Linked DNA regions of Xenopus tropicalis. The protein of the gene in region 2 interacts with the protein of the main gene of each other region in a pairwise test. Links are inferred from orthologs where the notes say so. Each region holds a gene or a part of one and is shown on either strand. Other genes may lie near its edges.

What was found.
Region 1: the proteins of atxn1 (region 2) and ahdc1 interact in binary tests that used the Homo sapiens proteins (3 or more experiments, as listed by UniProt). The link is inferred for Xenopus tropicalis from reciprocal best matches to the Homo sapiens genes ATXN1 and AHDC1.
Region 3: the proteins of atxn1 (region 2) and plekhn1 interact in binary tests that used the Homo sapiens proteins (3 or more experiments, as listed by UniProt). The link is inferred for Xenopus tropicalis from reciprocal best matches to the Homo sapiens genes ATXN1 and PLEKHN1.
Region 4: the proteins of atxn1 (region 2) and esrp1 interact in binary tests that used the Homo sapiens proteins (3 or more experiments, as listed by UniProt). The link is inferred for Xenopus tropicalis from reciprocal best matches to the Homo sapiens genes ATXN1 and ESRP1.
Region 5: the proteins of atxn1 (region 2) and slc51a interact in binary tests that used the Homo sapiens proteins (3 or more experiments, as listed by UniProt). The link is inferred for Xenopus tropicalis from reciprocal best matches to the Homo sapiens genes ATXN1 and SLC51A.

What each region holds. Positions count from the first base shown.
Region 1 is NC_030678.2:78,097,676-78,101,355, forward strand, and holds the end of ahdc1 (AT-hook DNA-binding motif-containing protein 1), read right to left. Parts: coding exon 1,102-3,680; 3' UTR 501-1,101; downstream 1-500. UniProt on the Homo sapiens protein: Transcription factor required for the proper patterning of the epidermis, which plays a key role in early epithelial morphogenesis. Directly binds promoter and enhancer regions and acts by maintaining local enhancer-promoter chromatin architecture.
Region 2 is NC_030682.2:93,429,300-93,432,799, reverse strand, and holds part of atxn1 (ataxin-1), read right to left. Parts: coding exon 2,546-3,500; intron 1-2,545. UniProt on the Homo sapiens protein: Chromatin-binding factor that repress Notch signaling in the absence of Notch intracellular domain by acting as a CBF1 corepressor. Binds to the HEY promoter and might assist, along with NCOR2, RBPJ-mediated repression. Binds RNA in vitro.
Region 3 is NC_030683.2:88,889,861-88,893,360, forward strand, and holds part of plekhn1 (pleckstrin homology domain-containing family N member 1), read right to left. Parts: intron 3,353-3,500; coding exon 3,206-3,352; intron 1,284-3,205; coding exon 1,203-1,283; intron 1-1,202. UniProt on the Homo sapiens protein: Controls the stability of the leptin mRNA harboring an AU-rich element (ARE) in its 3' UTR, in cooperation with the RNA stabilizer ELAVL1.
Region 4 is NC_030682.2:128,035,576-128,039,075, reverse strand, and holds part of esrp1 (epithelial splicing regulatory protein 1), read right to left. Parts: intron 2,347-3,500; coding exon 2,148-2,346; intron 1,081-2,147; exon of another isoform or gene 958-1,080; intron 1-957. UniProt on the Homo sapiens protein: mRNA splicing factor that regulates the formation of epithelial cell-specific isoforms. Specifically regulates the expression of FGFR2-IIIb, an epithelial cell-specific isoform of FGFR2.
Region 5 is NC_030681.2:102,870,991-102,875,263, reverse strand, and holds the end of slc51a (organic solute transporter subunit alpha), read right to left. Parts: intron 3,168-4,273; coding exon 3,062-3,167; intron 1,381-3,061; coding exon 1,265-1,380; 3' UTR 501-1,264; downstream 1-500. UniProt on the Homo sapiens protein: Essential component of the Ost-alpha/Ost-beta complex, a heterodimer that acts as the intestinal basolateral transporter responsible for bile acid export from enterocytes into portal blood. Efficiently transports the major species of bile acids (taurocholate).

The DNA of each region.
Region 1 (3,680 bases), on a different chromosome or scaffold from region 2:
AAATGTTTAGAATACAGGTTTTATACACATGGACAAGAATTACCTTAAGGGTAATTGCAAAAAAAGTACTGTGATCCCAGTTACTTGTAGCCATGATCAACTTGGTCTCGGGTAATTATCAATCACAATGACCCATAGAGCTTACCATTCACATAAGTTGCATATGGTCTGAAGCAGTTATTTGAATTCAGATCCTGCAATAAGGAGTGGCAATTAAAACACATTGGGGTTCATTATAAACATTGGGCAAATTTGCAACTGGGCAGTAACCTATAAGAACCAAATTAAATGTTTGGTTTGATTGTTCAACCTGAAGTTGGCAAAAAAAAAAAAAAGACAGTCACTGATTAGTTTCTATGGGTTACTTATGTGTATATTTGGCAAATGTTCTAAACTAAGCCTGTGTGTATGCTATAGATTTTAGGGGGAGGCTTCACACAAATTACGTATATAAATAAATTAATTTAACCTAAAAGTCATTATAAAAAAAAGTACACAACTTAACTATCTTTTGCATCACAGTACAGTTTATCACAAAAAAAGGAATACAAAAAATGTTGTCAATTTTGCATCAGATTTTCAATTTTAACCTTCAATTGTCCTGACTAATTAAGGCCCGTTTAATTATCCAGACATATATATGGTAAAAATGAGGAGATATGACATTCAATTTTGAAGTGAACACAAAAAGTATAGCTAAATACAAACTGCTGCTTTACGATCCATAAATGCTATGGAATTTTTTTTCAAATAGTTTGTGTGCTTCTTTTCAGCAGTATGTGGTATATAAACTCGCAGTCCACATGTGTGTGTAGGACCATAAATTGATGCATGTAAATATTTTTGTACAAAAATGACAAATATTGTTTTTTATATAGGCAGTTTGCATTATAGCTACAGTCTTCTGCTCATGTAAGTCAAGTTTGCTACAGCTATAGTTAGACAAGAAGCAATCTTTTTATAGAAAATGTGCAGCACTTTCACAAAACTGAACAATGCAATTGCATATCCTTCTTTAATCATTTGATTTCCTTCCCTATCCAATTCTCACCTCACCCCCCGGCCTCTGCTGCTCCCGATGACTCCAGACAAGTCACCTCACTAAAGGGAGGTGACTGTAAAGTTGTCTTCAGGAATATTTTCAGGTCCCAGAAACCCACCCTTCATGTTGGGAGGGGACAGAACTGGGGGTCCCTGGGGGGGAAAGGCTGGGTAGCGATAGGTCTCCTGTAGTTGCACCATGGAGTCTCTTTGCACAGGGGAATGGGTGATATCACTGAGCAATGGGCAAGGGTATGGGGCTCTGTGGTGTCCTCTCATCATGTCCAGCGTCTCTTTGTCCCTTTTAGGGCTGGGGATATGGGGGCTCAGACAGGATGCTCCCTCCCCCCGCCTGCCCATAAAGTCTGAAAGTAAGCCCCCTTTTCCATCATAAGGAGGACTGCGAGGTGGGTACCAGTAGCCAGCATTTTTGCAGCTGGGGGGCTCATAGCGGTGATGGGTGGAAGGTTGGGATGGTAGTTGCTCACGACAAGAGGGCAAGTGTGGAGGCAAACTGTGTTTGAGGGGATCACAGGATGAGTGAGAAGAGGGTACTAGCTTCCTTCCTTCCCCTGGCCGTAGCTCAAGTGTAGGGGAGCAGTTGGGAGAAAAAGGAGAGTCTTGCATGGGATGTTCGTAACCCAGGCCAGGTGGTGGAGGAGGATGTGGGGCACCAGAGGTGGCACTTCCGGATGGTGGGAGGTGAGAAAAGTGTTTTCCAGGCTCTAGCTCTGTTGTGGGAGGGCACAGCCCCGGGGAGTCACTCTGGAAACCAAATGTGCCATCAGAAGGGGTAGACGGGTTCATGGAATAAGGTCCAGAAAAGTCACAAGGGGGATCTCTCTCTCCTACACTATATGCCCGTGAGTGGGAAGGCAGAGGTGACATGCTACTATCCCCACTATAGCAGTCCAATCCTAGCTCTGAGGACTCCTGGAACAGGGAGCTCACAGAGGATGATGGAGGTGGAGCAGGTGGTTTTGGGACAAACTTAGCCTTTCCTGAACCTCTCTCTTTCCTGTTTGTGGAACAGCCCCCACCACGACCACCCCTTGGACCTCTTGGACCCCCTCCTCGTTTACTGGGAAAGCCTGTAGGAGGAGCAGCAGCTGAGGAAGAGGAGGAAGAAGGAGAGGATGAGGAGAAGCCCAGGTGATGGTGATGTGGGTGTGAGGGTTCAAAAATATCAGCTTTCTTCCTTCTCCCCCGACCAGGTTTAGCAGTATGGTGAAAGAGAACACTCTGGTTCCAGCTGTATCCAGGGGCAGAGGATGTTTCATTCCAATCCATCATTAATTTTTCAAGACTTGATAAGCTGGATTGCCCTTCACTAGATGAAGCCTCACTGTTGGCCCGGCGATAGCCAGCCCCAGGCTGTGTGTACTGTGTGCTGTCAGAGGATGATTCAGAAATGTTGTCTGTGTTCTGTTTGGCTTTCTGGGGAGTATAGTTGCTAATGTCTAAGATAACATTGGACTCTGTCATGTGACAATCAAAACCAGCTCCATAGAGCTGTCCAAAACTGTCAGGACCCCAATCTGTCTGGCTGTAACCCTGCCTAAAAGCCCACTGACTTGAAGTCCCTGGAAAGGTACGGCTATTTTCCCCAGGGAAGAGTGATCCAGCAGCTTTAGGCAGCATGTAATTGGCAGGTGAGGAGGTACCTGATCGACTCTCGCTCCTAAGGGGGGGAAAAGGGGGCACTTCTGATGTATTAAAGAAGGGGTTTTTGGACATGTTAACTCCAGATCCTACAGCAGGCAATTGTTGTTGCTGCTGATGGCTGAAACCTGTACCACTATGAGCACTGCCAGGTGATGAAGGGAGGCTGTTACCTCCACTGAATGAGAAACTACAGTCCTTGTTGCCTGCACAATCTGGGGGTCCAGAGGGATACTGTTTGTTAGGTGCAAAAAGTCCATGGCTGGGAAGGCTCTGACCACCAGTTCCAGAGAAACCACTATATTGGCTAAAGCCCCCAGTATGATGAGAATTAGGTGAACGAGACACCAGCTTCTGAAAGGCATCAGAGCCATGGCAGTCTTGTTGATTTAATGCTGCATAATTTGATGACCCTCGACTTGGTGGAAATTGCTGCCTGGCTGGTGCTGAGCTTTGGTATGCTGATTCTTGAGCACTAGCTTTAGTGCCCCGGGAGTTGGAATAGGACTGGAGAGCTCGGGTGTTAGGGGAAGATGACGATCCAGAGAAGGCTGATGCTGATTTCCGGGCTTCTTGTCTCTGGGCAGCCATGGCAAAATCTACTAGATCAGAAGAGTCATCTGAGTCAAGGAGGGAGCGGAAATACCCAGTAAAGAGGCTGTGGCGGTCCTGCCCTCCACCCTCGGCATGGGACACTGATCCTGCTCCTGCATAGTAACTAGGTCTGTTAGGGGATCCACTGTGCATTGAAGAAAATCCCCTGTTTTCAGGTCCTTGATAACTGCAGTGTCTACCACCTGACTGGCTGTGAGAAAGCTGACCCGGCCATGGTGTTCCTTTACCTTCAGGTCCCCATTCAGATGTGCCTTGATAGCCTAAACTTCCCTCTCCACCCATTTCACCAAGAAGAGCACCATTCTTACGTGATCTCCTCTTGCGCTTGGGCTTAGCATTGGGATCTGGCTCAGCTCGCGGCT
Region 2 (3,500 bases):
TTTCATTATTCACATATTTTCTGCAGCTTCCCCATTATGCTGTCTGTTTGATATGTTCAGTGAACCTAAGAATCAAAAATGTTAATAAAAAATGGAATGATATGCAAGAGGAACATCAAATAAAGATATTTATAAGAACATTATCCGGAACCCGGTTATCCAGAAAGTTCCAGAGTTAGGAAAGGCTGTCTCCCATAGACTCCATTATAAGGAAATCATTTTTAATTTCCTTTTTATCTGTAATAATAAAACAGTACCTTGTACTTGATCCCAACTATGATATAATTACTCCTTATTGGAGACAAAACAAACCTATTGGGTTTATTTAATATTTAAATGATGTCTCAGCAGACTTAAAGGAGAAGGAAAGTTATTTTGGCATTTTATTGCCAATAGATTTGCCACATTAGTGCCACCTAGAACAATATATTTATTCTGCAGAAACCATTACCATACCAGAGTAAATAGCTTTAGAAGCTTTCTCCGTTTGATTAAGATAGCAGCTGCCATTTTAAGTAGCTTCCTGCCTGCAGTCTAGCCGTTATAGCTCAGATTACACATTCCTAAGGGAAAGGGAAGGGACTTCTTAGCAGGAGAGGGGAGAGAACTGCGCAGACACTGGAATTAAGGATGTTTCTGAGAGAGGAAAAGCTGTTAATTATCCCCATGTGCAATGCCAAGTGTACCTGTTTTGTGAACTCCTTGTTTCACCATTGCACAATTGTAGGATATTAGTTATCTGAAGATGTTATTATGGGCAGGCATAAGAGTCTTATATGGCCAATCTTCTACTCAGTTCTTAGAAATGTGTTATATCAATAAATATACATATATCAATTTTGAGTGGGCTTTTGCACTTTGCACTTGGCTTTAATGCCATTGAAAATGTATGATGTGCAGTGCATTTGTGGGAGGCTGTATATATATAATTTTTTTTTATAACGTGATAAAAAAAACTTGTCTTTTAGGAAAAGGTGGGCGGGGGAATTTATTGTAGGTGCAAGTTTTTACCACTGTTTTACTATAGAAGTTAATGAAACAATAAAATACAGTATCACCTTTAACAAACTGGAAAGAGATTTTGATGTAAACATTTTCTCAATATTTGATCTTTGTAAAGAATATAAATGACTATAATAATGTGTAACATTTTTCAATCTGCCACTTATGGTGGGCTCAATCAGTGTTAGGCAGCCTGGTATAAAATGTAATAAATTAAACCAGTTCAGTTGGGCACAGGAATTATATTGTAGCCAAAATGGCTTTTTCATATTTAGTGCTATTCATTTAACCCTGATATAAACATTTTTAGACTGTATATGGCTTTTTATGTTTGAAAACTGAGAGGTGTCTGTTACGTGTATGTATTACTTAAATCTGCATACATTTCAAAGTTGTAGTTGTACTCACTATTTGGCCTACTGTATATAGGGACTTCTTGCCCAACCTAGTTTTATGATTTCATTAGATTTGTGGTTTTAAAAAAATATTTTTTTTCAAAAAGTGGTTGTGTCATTCTTTCCTGTCGAATTTTTTTTAAAAGCTTATTCTTTTATTCATTGCTCCTCTTGAACAGCCCCAGTGTGAGAGAGTGCAAACAGAATAATGTAACCCAACAAAATGTTTAGCAGGTTGATTCATTGCATTGCAAAGTACATGAATCTTTTGTCTATAAAACCTCAATTCCCAGGGATTATGAATAACAGATCCTGCACATGACAATGGAAACCAATATGACCCTTCTTAGATCCCTAAATATTGTTGGTCTGCACCTCCTAGTAGGTTTTAACCCCTGATTATCTGTTGAGGAATTCTGGAGTTTTATTTCAACAGCATCTGGGGACCAAAGGTTAAGAAATACAGCTATATAGTAACAGCCTTCATCTGACACCAGCTTTGTTCCATACTACCCTACTTTAACAAACAGATGTCCACTTCATATAGGTTAAAAGATTTAGGGGTATATTTATCATACTGTGTAAAAAGTGGAGTGAAACATTACCGGTGATGTTGCCCAGGGCAACCAATCAGCAATTAGATTTCAACAGTTACAAAATGAAAGAAAAGCATCTGATTGGCTTCTATGAGCAACACCACCGGTGATGTTTTACTCCACTTTTTACACAGCATGATAAATATACCCCTTAGGGTAATGCCACACCAGGATGATAATCAGCATCTATGTTTGCCTCAGCCTACTTTTGCGACTGCACCCAGAACCAAAAAGTTGGCCAAGGTGCAGGCACATGGAGCAGATTTTGGCACTAAAAATGCATTAGTATGCATTTCAGTGATGAAATCTGCTCCATGTGTCTGCATCCGGCGCATGCAGTTTCTCCAGGTGCAGTCATAAGAGTAGGCTGAGGCAAGCAAAGGGGTAGATAAATGCAGGCCGAGAATCAGTCTGGTGTGGCAGTAGCCTTATATTCTGTATGAGAATAATACAATAACTGACGCTCTCTTAGGTAAAAGCTTCTAAAGCTACTTTGTCTTTGATCCATATCAACAATATCTTTAAGTGCAAGATAATTTAACCTTTACTCACCTGTGACCGGTGCTCTCCCACAGCAAACTGCACCACAGCTATGCCTGGACTATGGCTGCTCTCAATTCTCTCCACTGTGCTGGAGTCTATTTTCAAGTCGTTGCTAATATCTGCACTTTGTATGAAGTCATCTGTTTTTAAATCCTCTACTTTCTTTAGCTCACCATTGGCCAGCTGTATGATTGACCCTTTCATAAAGTAAGGGGGCAGTGTAGGGGCAGTTGCCATATGAGAAGCAACAGACTGTACAACAGGGAGGTGGATTTGAGCTGGGACCAATGCAGCCTGGTAGGCAGTTTGAGTTGCCAGTGTTTCAGCACTGTAGTTTTCACCTTTTGGAATGGGCGTAGTGACAAATGTATGAGGCACTGCTGCAAACTGGGGAGATGACGTCACAATACCAGGTGTAACCCCAACCCTAGATGATTCCATGTCTGGATTGCCAACAGGTATAAGTAAGGGCTGGGTTCCAGGGAACACCAAGTGTTGTGGCAAATTTCCAGGGTAGCCAATGGTTTGCTGCTGACTGCTGAGATAGCCAATAACTGGCTGTTGTGTACCCGCATAAAAAGCAGCAGGCAAACCAACAGAAAGTTGTTCTGCTGCACTGTGAGTTGTCTGGATGACAGTGTGAGGAGATAATGTAGCCACAGTTTTTACTACTTCTGGGCATAATGTTTGCTGTGGGGATAAAACATAGGGCCGATGGGTTTGCTTTCCTAAATGTATGCTTCCCCTGTTATGAGCTGCTAAAGGTGAGGTTTCTCTCTTAATAGTTTGTGAGACATCCATGTCTGTGGCAGTTGTGTTGCTGTTAGGCACTACCATGACTGAGGTCCGAACTCCTGAGGGATCCCGAGTACTATAATCAGTACTAGGGTGCACCACCACATGTCTTGTCTCATAATGTTGGGAAGCTGGTTTATTATTGCCTGCTTTCATTAACTGTGCATCT
Region 3 (3,500 bases), on a different chromosome or scaffold from region 2:
CCAGCACAAAGATTCCTGTCTAATCTGTACTGAGACGCCAGACTTTCTCCAAACATTACCAAGAATGGGAACTGCCATGTATATAGGATGAACATAGAATTACATTCCAGCATTTCCTTCAAGTTTTATAGCCAGCTCAAAATTCTAGTGCATAACCAAGCCTTCAGTAAAACTTAGTAACCCTTTCTCACTGTTCTTGAGAGCAAGAGAAATAGGCTAAATATAAAGAATGGCAACTTTTAACAGTGGCCAGGTCTTCCAAAACAGTTTTTTTATTGCAAAAAATTGTCAATACACACAGGCAGATTTAAAAAATGTAAACATATGCATTTTTGCACCAAAATCCACCTGCTGTGTGCATTGACAGGAAGATGCCTTTTTTTTAAGCCTCTCCTTTTGATCTTTCATTCTGACTTCAAAACTGCTCTCTGGTTGCTAGGATCATTAAGCCCTAGCAATCAGACAGCTGTTAAATCTTCCAAGAATGATAGCTGCAGAACAAAAAGGGTAAGTATTTCATCAAACTATTTCTTAAAAAAATGAAGACATGATGCTAAACATTAATTTTAAGGTGGACTGTCCCTTTAAGTTGGCTGTATCTGTAGTTTAAACACTTAATACTATAGTAAGATCAAGCAAGAAATACACTTTAAAAATAAAAAAAACTGCATGAGTTTGACATCTCTATGCTACATGATATTCCTTTTTTAAATTTCAAATATGTGTTTATCTCAAGAGCAATGCAAGAGCAGCGTGTTGTCTAGCATCTATTATGTTATGTGTGGGTATAACAAAGACACAACAAACAGCACTATTCAGTTCCATAATATTTTTATTTAAACTTCATCATCCGTGAAAAGCCAATTAGCTGTCCCTCCAGGGTTGGAGAAGGCTGCAGTTGTAAGCAACCTTGAATAGTAAAATGTCATAAGATAAGAAGTGTACTTTAAAACATTTGCACAAAGGCCCCACATCTGAGATAAGGGCAAGTATTTGGAGTCATGTAAACAGGTCTAATGGAAGTGACCCTGAGGGTTGAAGGGTCAACAGATATTTGAGAAATGGTGATCTGTGTGTGTGTTTGATGTGAAATGTTGCCAATACATCTATACTTATAGCAGAATCTAACAAGGAAACTCATCAGGTACCTATCAACTGTCTACTCATTTGAGGCATTGTGTGTGGTCATGGGAAACCCTTACCTGATAGGTCAAACCAGTTGGGCCACGTGACTGAAAATAGAGGTGGGACTGAAACAGCTCCAAGTAACAGTCACTTATGTCCTGCAAAGAACAGAACAGGTTAATCTGGAATATCCCCTTTGGCAAGTTAAACGTGTCCCTCTCAAAAATAAGATGTTTGCTTAAACAACTGGATTACCAATGGTCAATATTTGAAGTCTTGGTTTCAAAAATAAAATATCAATTTATCACTGACTTAAAAATACAAATAAATCTGTGTTCACAGATTTTAGAAATCAGCAAGTGAGTAGGAACACTACATGCACCAACACAATTAGCAAAAACATATGCATGAAAGATTGAAAAGGTAAAAAGTAGTCCTGCGTGGTACATTTTGCACGTTGCGGCTTTTATATTTGTGCACAGAGATTATTCTCTTTCATTGTTGTGACTGTGGTTTTAAGAAATCGTGCCGACTATTCGCCCCGTCTGTATTCAGCTTAATATGAGTACTGCAGTAATTAGTGTAATGATCAGGTAAGAAATGGGACAGTCCATTCTTTTTTTGAATCTGCCCCACTCTGATCAGCAAAGGTTCCCAACTAAAGTGCAGACAGCACAGAAACTGAATCTTATCACCCAGACAAACAGGTTAAAGTCCACAATAGACATGTAATGGGAAATGACTCATAGGTATAGCAAGTAGGGGAGGGGATCGGCTTTGGAAAGTACACAGTTTGGCTGATGTTTAACACTCTGCTAATGATAACAGCTGATTATTTCCTTTAACCTTTCTTACGCCAAGTTTTGCCAGCTCATCCCCTGTGCTGAAATATATACAGTACTGCAATAGGCATTGGAGAAATGTGGAAAAAATTGATTGTGCAAAGAACAAAATGTTAGTATTGTGAATATTTTTTTCCAGTGGGGATTTTTATTATATTGCCCATTAGGTTATTAGCTCCATTGGGGGAGGGACTGATTTGAATTCTGAATAGTGATGAGCAAAATTTTTCACAAGGTTTTGCTGCGATAAAATGCCAAACAGCCTAAAAAAAAAGTTGCTCGGTATAAAAAAAAAAGTTGAAAGGACAGCATTGCGTAAAGGTGGCCATACACGCTAAGGTCCGCTCGCTTGGCAAGGTCGATATCAGGCTAATTAGAAAGACAGGTATAGGTGTCCGTCGGTTCAGGGACTGCATCAACGAGCCAATGGGGTCCCCAATCCAACTAAATGTCAAATCTGCCAAATCTTGATCTGGCCATTTTCAGGCCAGATGTTGGTCAGGCAGGCCCGTCGTTAGTGACCATACACGGGCCGATATAATGCCGAATCAGTCTAAGGGACCGATATATATCGGCAGCTAGATTCAGCCCGTGTATGGCCACCTCAAGCCACAATTCTGTGTCTTATGCAGATACTGTAACATCCCACTCCAACCATTATCTAACTGCTAATTCATCATTATAAATATACTCCATGGACCTACCTCTGGTACCAAAGTGTAATAGAACATAAACTTTAAAAGAATAAAAATGGCTACATAGTCTTAAACAAATTAAATTAACAAAAGGCAATTAGCTGGGGCCAACCACATACTCTATGTTGTGTTAATTTTAAACCCAACTGAGTTTGCTACTGTCTAAAAAGGGGAAGATGCATATTTAGAATAGTCAAGTCAAGCAATATGCTATCTCACACTTACACACAGACATGCAACGTGAAGAAGTATAGTGTTCTAGGCACCCAATTATGCCTTCATGAGTTAACATTTATTTAAGGTAAAATATATGTAAGTTAAAACCTACTAAAAGTAGGTTATATTTCATTTCAAATACTTGGGCCTTTACTTAGAACATTCATCATTACACTCTTCTTGCCAACAGCAACTCTGTGCTCCATTTTGCTGGCGACAGTGGTAAAATGATTCCCTCTGTTGCCTGGGTGCTTGCACTGTTTACTACATTGCATAAAGGATTCTGTGAGTATAACAGCTACCCTGCATATATCCTCATTCCTTTACCTGACTGTTCTGAAAGCAGAATTTGACTTTGGAGTAGTGAATCATTTGTCCCATATTCCTGACGATGGTTTTTTTCTTGCCCTTCCTGAAGATGCTGAGAAATCTTTGATCCACACTGTCCTTCTGTATTTCATGGTTTCCAATGTCCTGTTAAAAAAAGAGGATACAAATCCATAGTGATACTTTACATATACAGTAGGTGATTTATTTATGCTTACTTTAGAAATGATTTCCTATTTCTATGGCCAAAAACATGCCAATATGTAATAGGACCATTGACAATATGTGCAGATGG
Region 4 (3,500 bases), about 35 Mb from region 2:
ATATTGATTTGGTGCCAATTCCCAACAAGTGATAATCAATAAGTGGACAAAATGTTCTATTTTACAAATGTCCCATAACTGCACCAGCATGGTTAAGATTTTCCAGCAGAGTCTTTGCCATACTACTACTACTACAAAAAAAAAAAAATATATACCACACACACATTTCCCTCCCATTAAAGTAAATATATGACTTAGGTGGACCATCCGATTTATATTATGCCTATCCAGTAAACAATGCTCAATTTGTTACTGTACTAATCTAAAGCCATCCTGTATTATCCTAACCTATATTATATTGCTACCCCTGTGCTCATGTATTTTAAATAACTGCAAAAAAAAAAATTCTTCTCATGAACATAACAAAATGCTTAAAACCTACATTCCCTTCAAACAGAGTAATATGCTAAAAGTATCCATTTTTCATTGCACCCTGTCTGCATATGTCTGCTATACCCTTGCCCCAGCTGAACAATACTCCATAGCGAACAGAAGCACAGATATTATGGCAATAAAGGAACAGCGGTCTTTGGCTATGGATAATTCCTCAGTCAAGCCAAGATTTATGTAAAGCAAGTATATTATGTATACTTTTATATTTACAGGATATACTAGATACTTTCCTCTCATCATTTCATTTGTCTGCCCTACTTATAGAGCAGCATCTCAAACAAGAGCAGATAAATGTAACATTTGACACATCCTATTGCTATGCTTGGCCTCAACAGGCTTTGCCACAACACAGAAACCCCATCAGTTAAACAAAAGCCTTGGTTTTGTCTTGGCTTATTATTAACATACGCATTTGTTGAATTTTACAAAAGAGTCACTTGTAATTTTCAATTTCTCCTTAAACGGCCAATTCTACACAGAAACAAAAGAGGATTAAAGCAGAAATAACATTCACTGCTGTTTAAATTGAGAGAGGCAAAAGACTGCTTCCCTCCAGGGTCTCACCTTGATTCAGCCTCTGCTGGATATTCCTCAAAAATCTCAAACTTTTGGCGACTTTTCATGGATTTTAACATAGCCTCAGATGGCAAGCCTTGTGGGCCAGTTCCTCCATTGATTACTAAATCTCTGTGGGATAGTCGCAATATCCATTTAAAACGGATTACGAGATGTGCTACGTTCCCGACATACCACAGGCCAGATGCTACCCGTGCCCCACACAGTATGTATGCCACAGTCTGAGTGTCTCGTCATTAGTGTGAGTGATTGCATGCACCTCATACCCACCTACGTTTCAGCCTGCCCAAAGCTTGAGAACCTTTGCCGTACATACTCTAAACCACCATGACAGTGCTGTTCACACCCTAGTTGCGTTATTAAATTACCAGGACATTGGTTGGCACAGAAGGCTCTACATTTTAAAAGAAGTGTGGATATTACATGGAATACGCTGCATACTAACAGGATTGCTGAGCGAAAAAGTAATCATGTGCATGCTGTAAGGTGCAGTCCCACAAATATCCATATAGAGCAGGCTGAGCCAGCCATTGCTAAGCTGCAACTTCCAGTAGAGACTCCCATGTACATGGGCATTTGTAGTTCAGCAACAGCTTAGCTATCCCTGCTCTAGAGCTAAAATGGCATTTAAGGTTGTTTGTGGGCCTACCAGCTAGCCCACACTTGGCTTATGCTTTAAAGTAATCTAAAATGGCAACTCAGAGCACAGAAAATATTTTCTTTATGCAAAAAGGAGATACACAAATATGAGGGATTCTTAATATCATCCATTTCACCTCGGCCATAGCATCTCCATGAAGTGAATTATTAAACAAAGCCCCTCAGAATGGGGGTGGAGATGTTGGAGAGTGGGACTGCACCGCTAGCTGTATCTGGCCGCAGTGCTCAGTTCAGAAACAATAAAAGTGTAATTAGCCAGCCAGAAGAAATCATGGATGTTGGCTCTACCACTTACATTAGTCCAGCAACCCCCCTCCAGAAAAATTGGTTTGATGCATGTTTAAGCCCCCAATACGTCACCCACCAAAAATAATTGTATTTGTTGTTGATTTGTGAAGTTGCTCATAACCAGTGAATCTGTGGAGTAAATTAAAGCCCAGTACCCAAGAGAGAAAGCTGTTCCAGCACCTACCAGCAACAAGCGAAGAGAAGCGGCAAGACCCAAAGCCCAGACTTACATGGTAACTTACATGGCGGCGGGGACAAGCCATTGCGATTTAAAGTTCCCCCCATTAAGACAAAGTTCATTTCCTCTGCTGAACACTGAAACACCTCCACATATCTGTCCTTCATGGTCTTCTTGTGGCACTTCTGTGCTGCCAGATACGCCCGGTCTGCCGATTTCATCTGAATAAACGAGTCCCCAGATGGACGGCCCTGGTGACAAAGAACATGAATGAGAAAGTTTTCTATGAACGGACAATGGGAAATCCAAACAAACAATGGTTAACCGTTTGTGCTAAAAGGGCTCATTTAAAAGTCACACACACAGTGCCATGCATACAACTGCACTATGGTAGGGCAAAGGTTAATTTGCTAATTGCATAAGTAACATACTGGTCTTTCAATTATTTCTATATGTGCAACATTGCCAAAACACATACCAAACCAACACCAGTTAGCTTCTACTTGTTCGGCACAAGCAAAACTATAGCTGGTCATATACACATCAATACTGGCCTCCCACACAGTCACACTTGACCAAGTTGCCAGATTATTAGTCTGTGTACGATGCAAAAACGAAGGTACCTGGAGTGATATCTGGCTGAGGCTCAGCCACAAATCACTGGAAAATCCCAGAAGATATGGACTGCATCTAAGATAGATATATATATATATATAGAGAGATATATAGAGAGATATAGATATATATAGAGAGATATATAGATATATATAGATATATATATAGATATATATAGATAGATTTATAGATATATAGATAGATTTATAGATATATAGATAGATATAGATATATAGATAGATATAGATATAGATATATATATATATATATATATATATATATATATATCTAAGATAGATATTGTCTTTTCCAATCAAGGTCAGCACAGGCCCCTATGTGACCCAATGTGGCTCAGTGGGTTGCTGCTGCCTTGGAGTGCTGGGGTCCTGAAGTCTACTCCAGCCAGGGCATTATCTGCAAGGAGTTTGTATGCTCTCCCCATGTCTGTATGCGATTCCTCCAGGAAATCCAGTTTCCTCCCACACTTCAAAAACATACAGGCAGGTGAATTCCAAATAAAAAAACTGTCCCTAATGTAAGTGAATGTAATAGGGACCTTAGACCATGGATCCTCAAACTACGGCCCACAGGCCGGATCTGGCCACCCCAAGGTAATTTACCTGGCCCCTGCTGCATCCTCTCCCCTGGCTAGTGTGCCTGTCTATAAATACTGGGGAAAAAACCCACCACCGCTAAAGCTCTTGACCAAGTTGGCAGCTTATTAGACCATGTATGGTGCCAAAATGAGAGGTGCCTAAACCAATATCTGACTGGGGCTCAGAGACATACC
Region 5 (4,273 bases), on a different chromosome or scaffold from region 2:
GGAGGGTGACTGTATACTGGCAATCTAATTAGCTACATCGCAAGGACCAAACATGGAGTAGCTTCAATTTTCCTGTCGCTCTGTTCAGGTCAAGAAATAACAAAAATACATAGATCTTAATTATTACAAGAAGTATATTCCATGCAAGCCCTATTCCCTGAACTAATGCTGAACAAGGGGTGCACTGCCCTTTTAAGTTATAGTAAACTTTTCACAGCGGTAGAGGTTTTTATTAGCTAGTTCCCTAGTACTGTCTGTATTAGCTAATAAACAAGGTTTTTGTTTTGTTTATTCTATAGCTGTGTTGGGGTAGGAATTGTTTCCTGTCCCCCTTGAGGTGGTATTTGCTTATGTAGTGTACACTGTAAACAAGTCAAGAAACCATCTTCATATTATTTATTACTTTTCTGTTCAGACCCCCCCAGTTGATATTCTGTCCTTTCAACTGCTGCCTGGCTATTAGTATCTGGGATCTTTACAACCAAGTAAGAAATAAAGTGTGGTTATATAATTATCATTCATTTTAATGGTGCCAGCAAGTTTCACAGCTCTTTACAATAATATAACAAACAGGGGTCTTACAATATATGAACAAACATGGGTTACAGAATGAAACAGTTGGTTTTCTATAAATTTGTACCATCTGGCAACCCACAGCAACCAGTTATGAAGCTAATTTACCAAACGAGCGCTCCATGTAAAGTCTAAATGTAAACACAAAATCACAATGTTTTTCCCAGAATTGCAGTCATTGACGGCACCCGCTATAGGTGTTAAAATTAGGGTGGGGTTCCTCCTTATTGCAATTGTGTGCAAATGGAATCACTTCCAGTGCAGAATAAGCATTATTGTGTGATTCACTTGACACAATGCCTCTGTAGGTGCCATGGGCTAAGAGAACCATGAAATTACCAGCAGCACAGAGCAGGTATTATTTCCAGGGTTTTCACTGTGTTTATTGTACCCTTTTACATTGTACACTGCATGCTATTGTGCACAGAGTATACTAAGTAAAGGCACTGATTACTATCACCCTCTTCAATAAATAGGGGCCAGTTGCAAATTATTTTAGAATACCACTGTCTAAATCTGTGATGAGATTTTATATCTTGGACTATTTTCATACACAGTACGAACTATCTGTTTATAAGCAGTGGAACCTGCCACAAGTTGTTGATATTAACACACTTAGCGGGCAGTTTGTTTGCAAAGAAATGACTTTCACATATAATGAGAATTATAATGGGACACTCTCCATATTTGATCACATGCGTTGTGATTTGAAGCTGAATCCTGCCTCTTCGTCTTTTATTCTGTATGCATTTCTGGCCACAATAGACAGGAGGAAAGTCTCCACTATGAGCAGATTGTTGTTCATTACTGTAAATAGAAAGATGCTGATAAGCGGATAATGCAAATATGAATGGAAAAATTGATCCACTGCCCTGAAACTCACACATATAGCAATTGAGCAGATCTCTATCCCTGGATGACAAAGCAGCTAAAAGGTGACCTATGATGGCAGCAGTGGCATGAAAGTGCTGCATAAGGCAATGCCAGGGTAACATGTGGAAAAGAAAAGCCTGGAGAGCGTTTCAGACAAATATCCGGAGCTCATAAATAGTATAGCAGCTCTTAAGGTCCTTAGAGGCATGTGCTTAGTTGCATGAACTGCACTGGAGCAATTTATTGAAATTTCACCTGAAACTAGCACAAAGGCAATTTCTCTAGCTGCAGAATTTTTGCTAGCCAGAAGGGAAGCAGAGCAAAGAAACTCTGTGTGTTTCAAACCCCTTCTGAAAAATGAGCCAGAGTAAAGTCAGAGTAAACAATGGTAGTTTCCTTATTGAGCCAGAAAATGCAAGTCCTGGACAGTGGAAGTCCCCAGACATTTGTTGAGAGATTTTCAAACCTTAGGAAACACCAATATATCTTGCATCCATGGAGACAAGAGAAATCATTGGCCAAACTACAAGTTAAAGTTGTAAAGACTGTCCACAGAGTGATTATGGGACTCAGTGTTGGACTGGCCCACCAGGATACCAGGAAAACTCCAGGTGGGCCCAGGTGTCAGTGGGCCCTCCTGCTCCTGCCCATTTGGCTTGTTTCATTATCATTCCCTATTTCTGAATGGGAAGACAGAGGGGAAGTAGATGGAAGAATAGATGCTAGCATGTAAATAAAAGAGACTGGGAGAATAAAGAGATTGATTGGAAGGAGGAAAAATAGTTTTGAGAGTGGGCCTATGATCTAAGGTTTTCTGGTGGGCCCCTGGGGTCCCAGTCCGACACTGATGGAACTGGTCCCTAAATTGCCTTATCCTTTGATTATCAGGAGAGACTTTACTAACAGGAATCAGAGCAACCTGTGGTAGCAATGACTACAAGGGCTCAATTACATACTGCACCTTTGCAAATACATTTTGTGTTTTTATTTTTTTGCTAAAAATAAAGCACACACTTTTGCTGAATTTCAGTTTGTATGCAGAGAATTGGTTTATCCGGCTTAAACACTTTAAAACAGAATTCGGTGAATCAATTTACTCCCCCCTAATCTTGTTACAATGTGATGGAATTCCATTGTGTCAAGTGGTGGATTCTGGAACTTGAAGCATCTCTAACTTCTATAGTGGGTGGTGCACAGATTCTCTGGGAAACAGAGAGACTTTACATCCCAAAAAACATCACATGACAATGGAACGAGGTGATGGAGGGGTTGCATTACACTGTTAGCCTAAGGGAAATGGGGAACTCACTACTAAATACTGGTTAAGCATTATGGTCTCCAGCTTCTCCCTTTCACTTTCAGTCTTACTCAATATACAGAGTTAGAACCACTGGAATGCAGCTAGTCTCACTTGTCACCAACTATAGCTATATGAACTGTCCCTACTCTGTATTTGTTCTGGGGTGTAATTTGATTTCCCTTACTCATCAGGGAAGTAAGGGCAAGGAAAAAAGTACATTTCCCATAATAACTATTTCCCCCTAAATTTGAATAGACCTCTGTTATTGATTCATTTTATGCTAAATGTTTCCCTTGGCCCATTGGTCCTACTTACGCTGAGATCTGGCTTTAGATGAATATGGAGGAAAACATGGTATCTGGCCTGCACCTGCCAGAATACTGAAGATAGAAGCTTGCAGGGTTGTCAGGATGAGCAAGATCTGTAATAAAAATAAGAAGATGTTAGAGATTGTGATCTGTATATAAACTGACTGGACTGAAGAAAAGTTAAAATAATCTAAAACAACAAAGGTGGCTAAATATATTTTTCATTGTGTAAAGCAGTTCTTTTCATCTAGTAATTTGCCAGTTGTCCAATAGAACCACGTTCACTTGTCCCGGTTTTATTACAATTCTGATATTTTATTGAGAATACCAAGCCTATGCCCTATGCCTTGGAAATCTGGATCATCGTCCCAAAAACTGCTTACTGAAGAGCCCAAAGTTTGTAGAATGTTGTAAATTCTTTACAGAATTTTGATTTCCTGCCATTTGGGGAGATTGCCCTTTCTGATAAAATAAACTTTACAATAGTTTTATTGAAGAGGCAAACTTCAGTGCATGATTAGGGATTAGGGTGTAAATACTGTGGGATTGTGGTTTACTAAGTATTTAAAAAGTTTAGGTCAGAATTGAGGTCATGTTCTTTGATGGATAAAGTGATACTTAAAGTAGATTTCTATAAGAAAGGATTATTGTTCATCTTTTTAAAGGTTTAAATTGCAATAATTGTTTCTGTCTTTGATTGTATCTCATATTTGCTAAGACTTTGAATCTGAACCAAATGCAAAAATGACCCTGACATTTATACTGCAATAAGCAGTCAATCAGAAGAACCTAAATATGCAGATAATGCTCTTTGTACAAATCAACCTGTTCCAGAAGTCTAATAAAGATTTATGAAACCAATAAATAATATGAAACCAATAAATAAATGTGCACATTACTTACACTACTTATCAATAGGCCATCATTTACTCTTTAGTTGGGGAAAGTTTCTGGCATCTGTATGTTACTGTACTTCATTATTGAAAGCAATATACAAGAATTACTTATATATCACCAGATATATCTTGAGAATCGGTTGTGCAATTTGACATATGTGCGTGCCTTATACAAGTATTTCTGCTTTATTGCAAGCACCATAAATTACACTCAGAAAGCCCCAAAACATTTCGATTTTGTATTCTTGGCTGCTGCTATGCTTTTGGATTTTTTTTTTTTTAATTTTTAAATTTTTATTGGGTTTTGTGTACAATCCAATCTT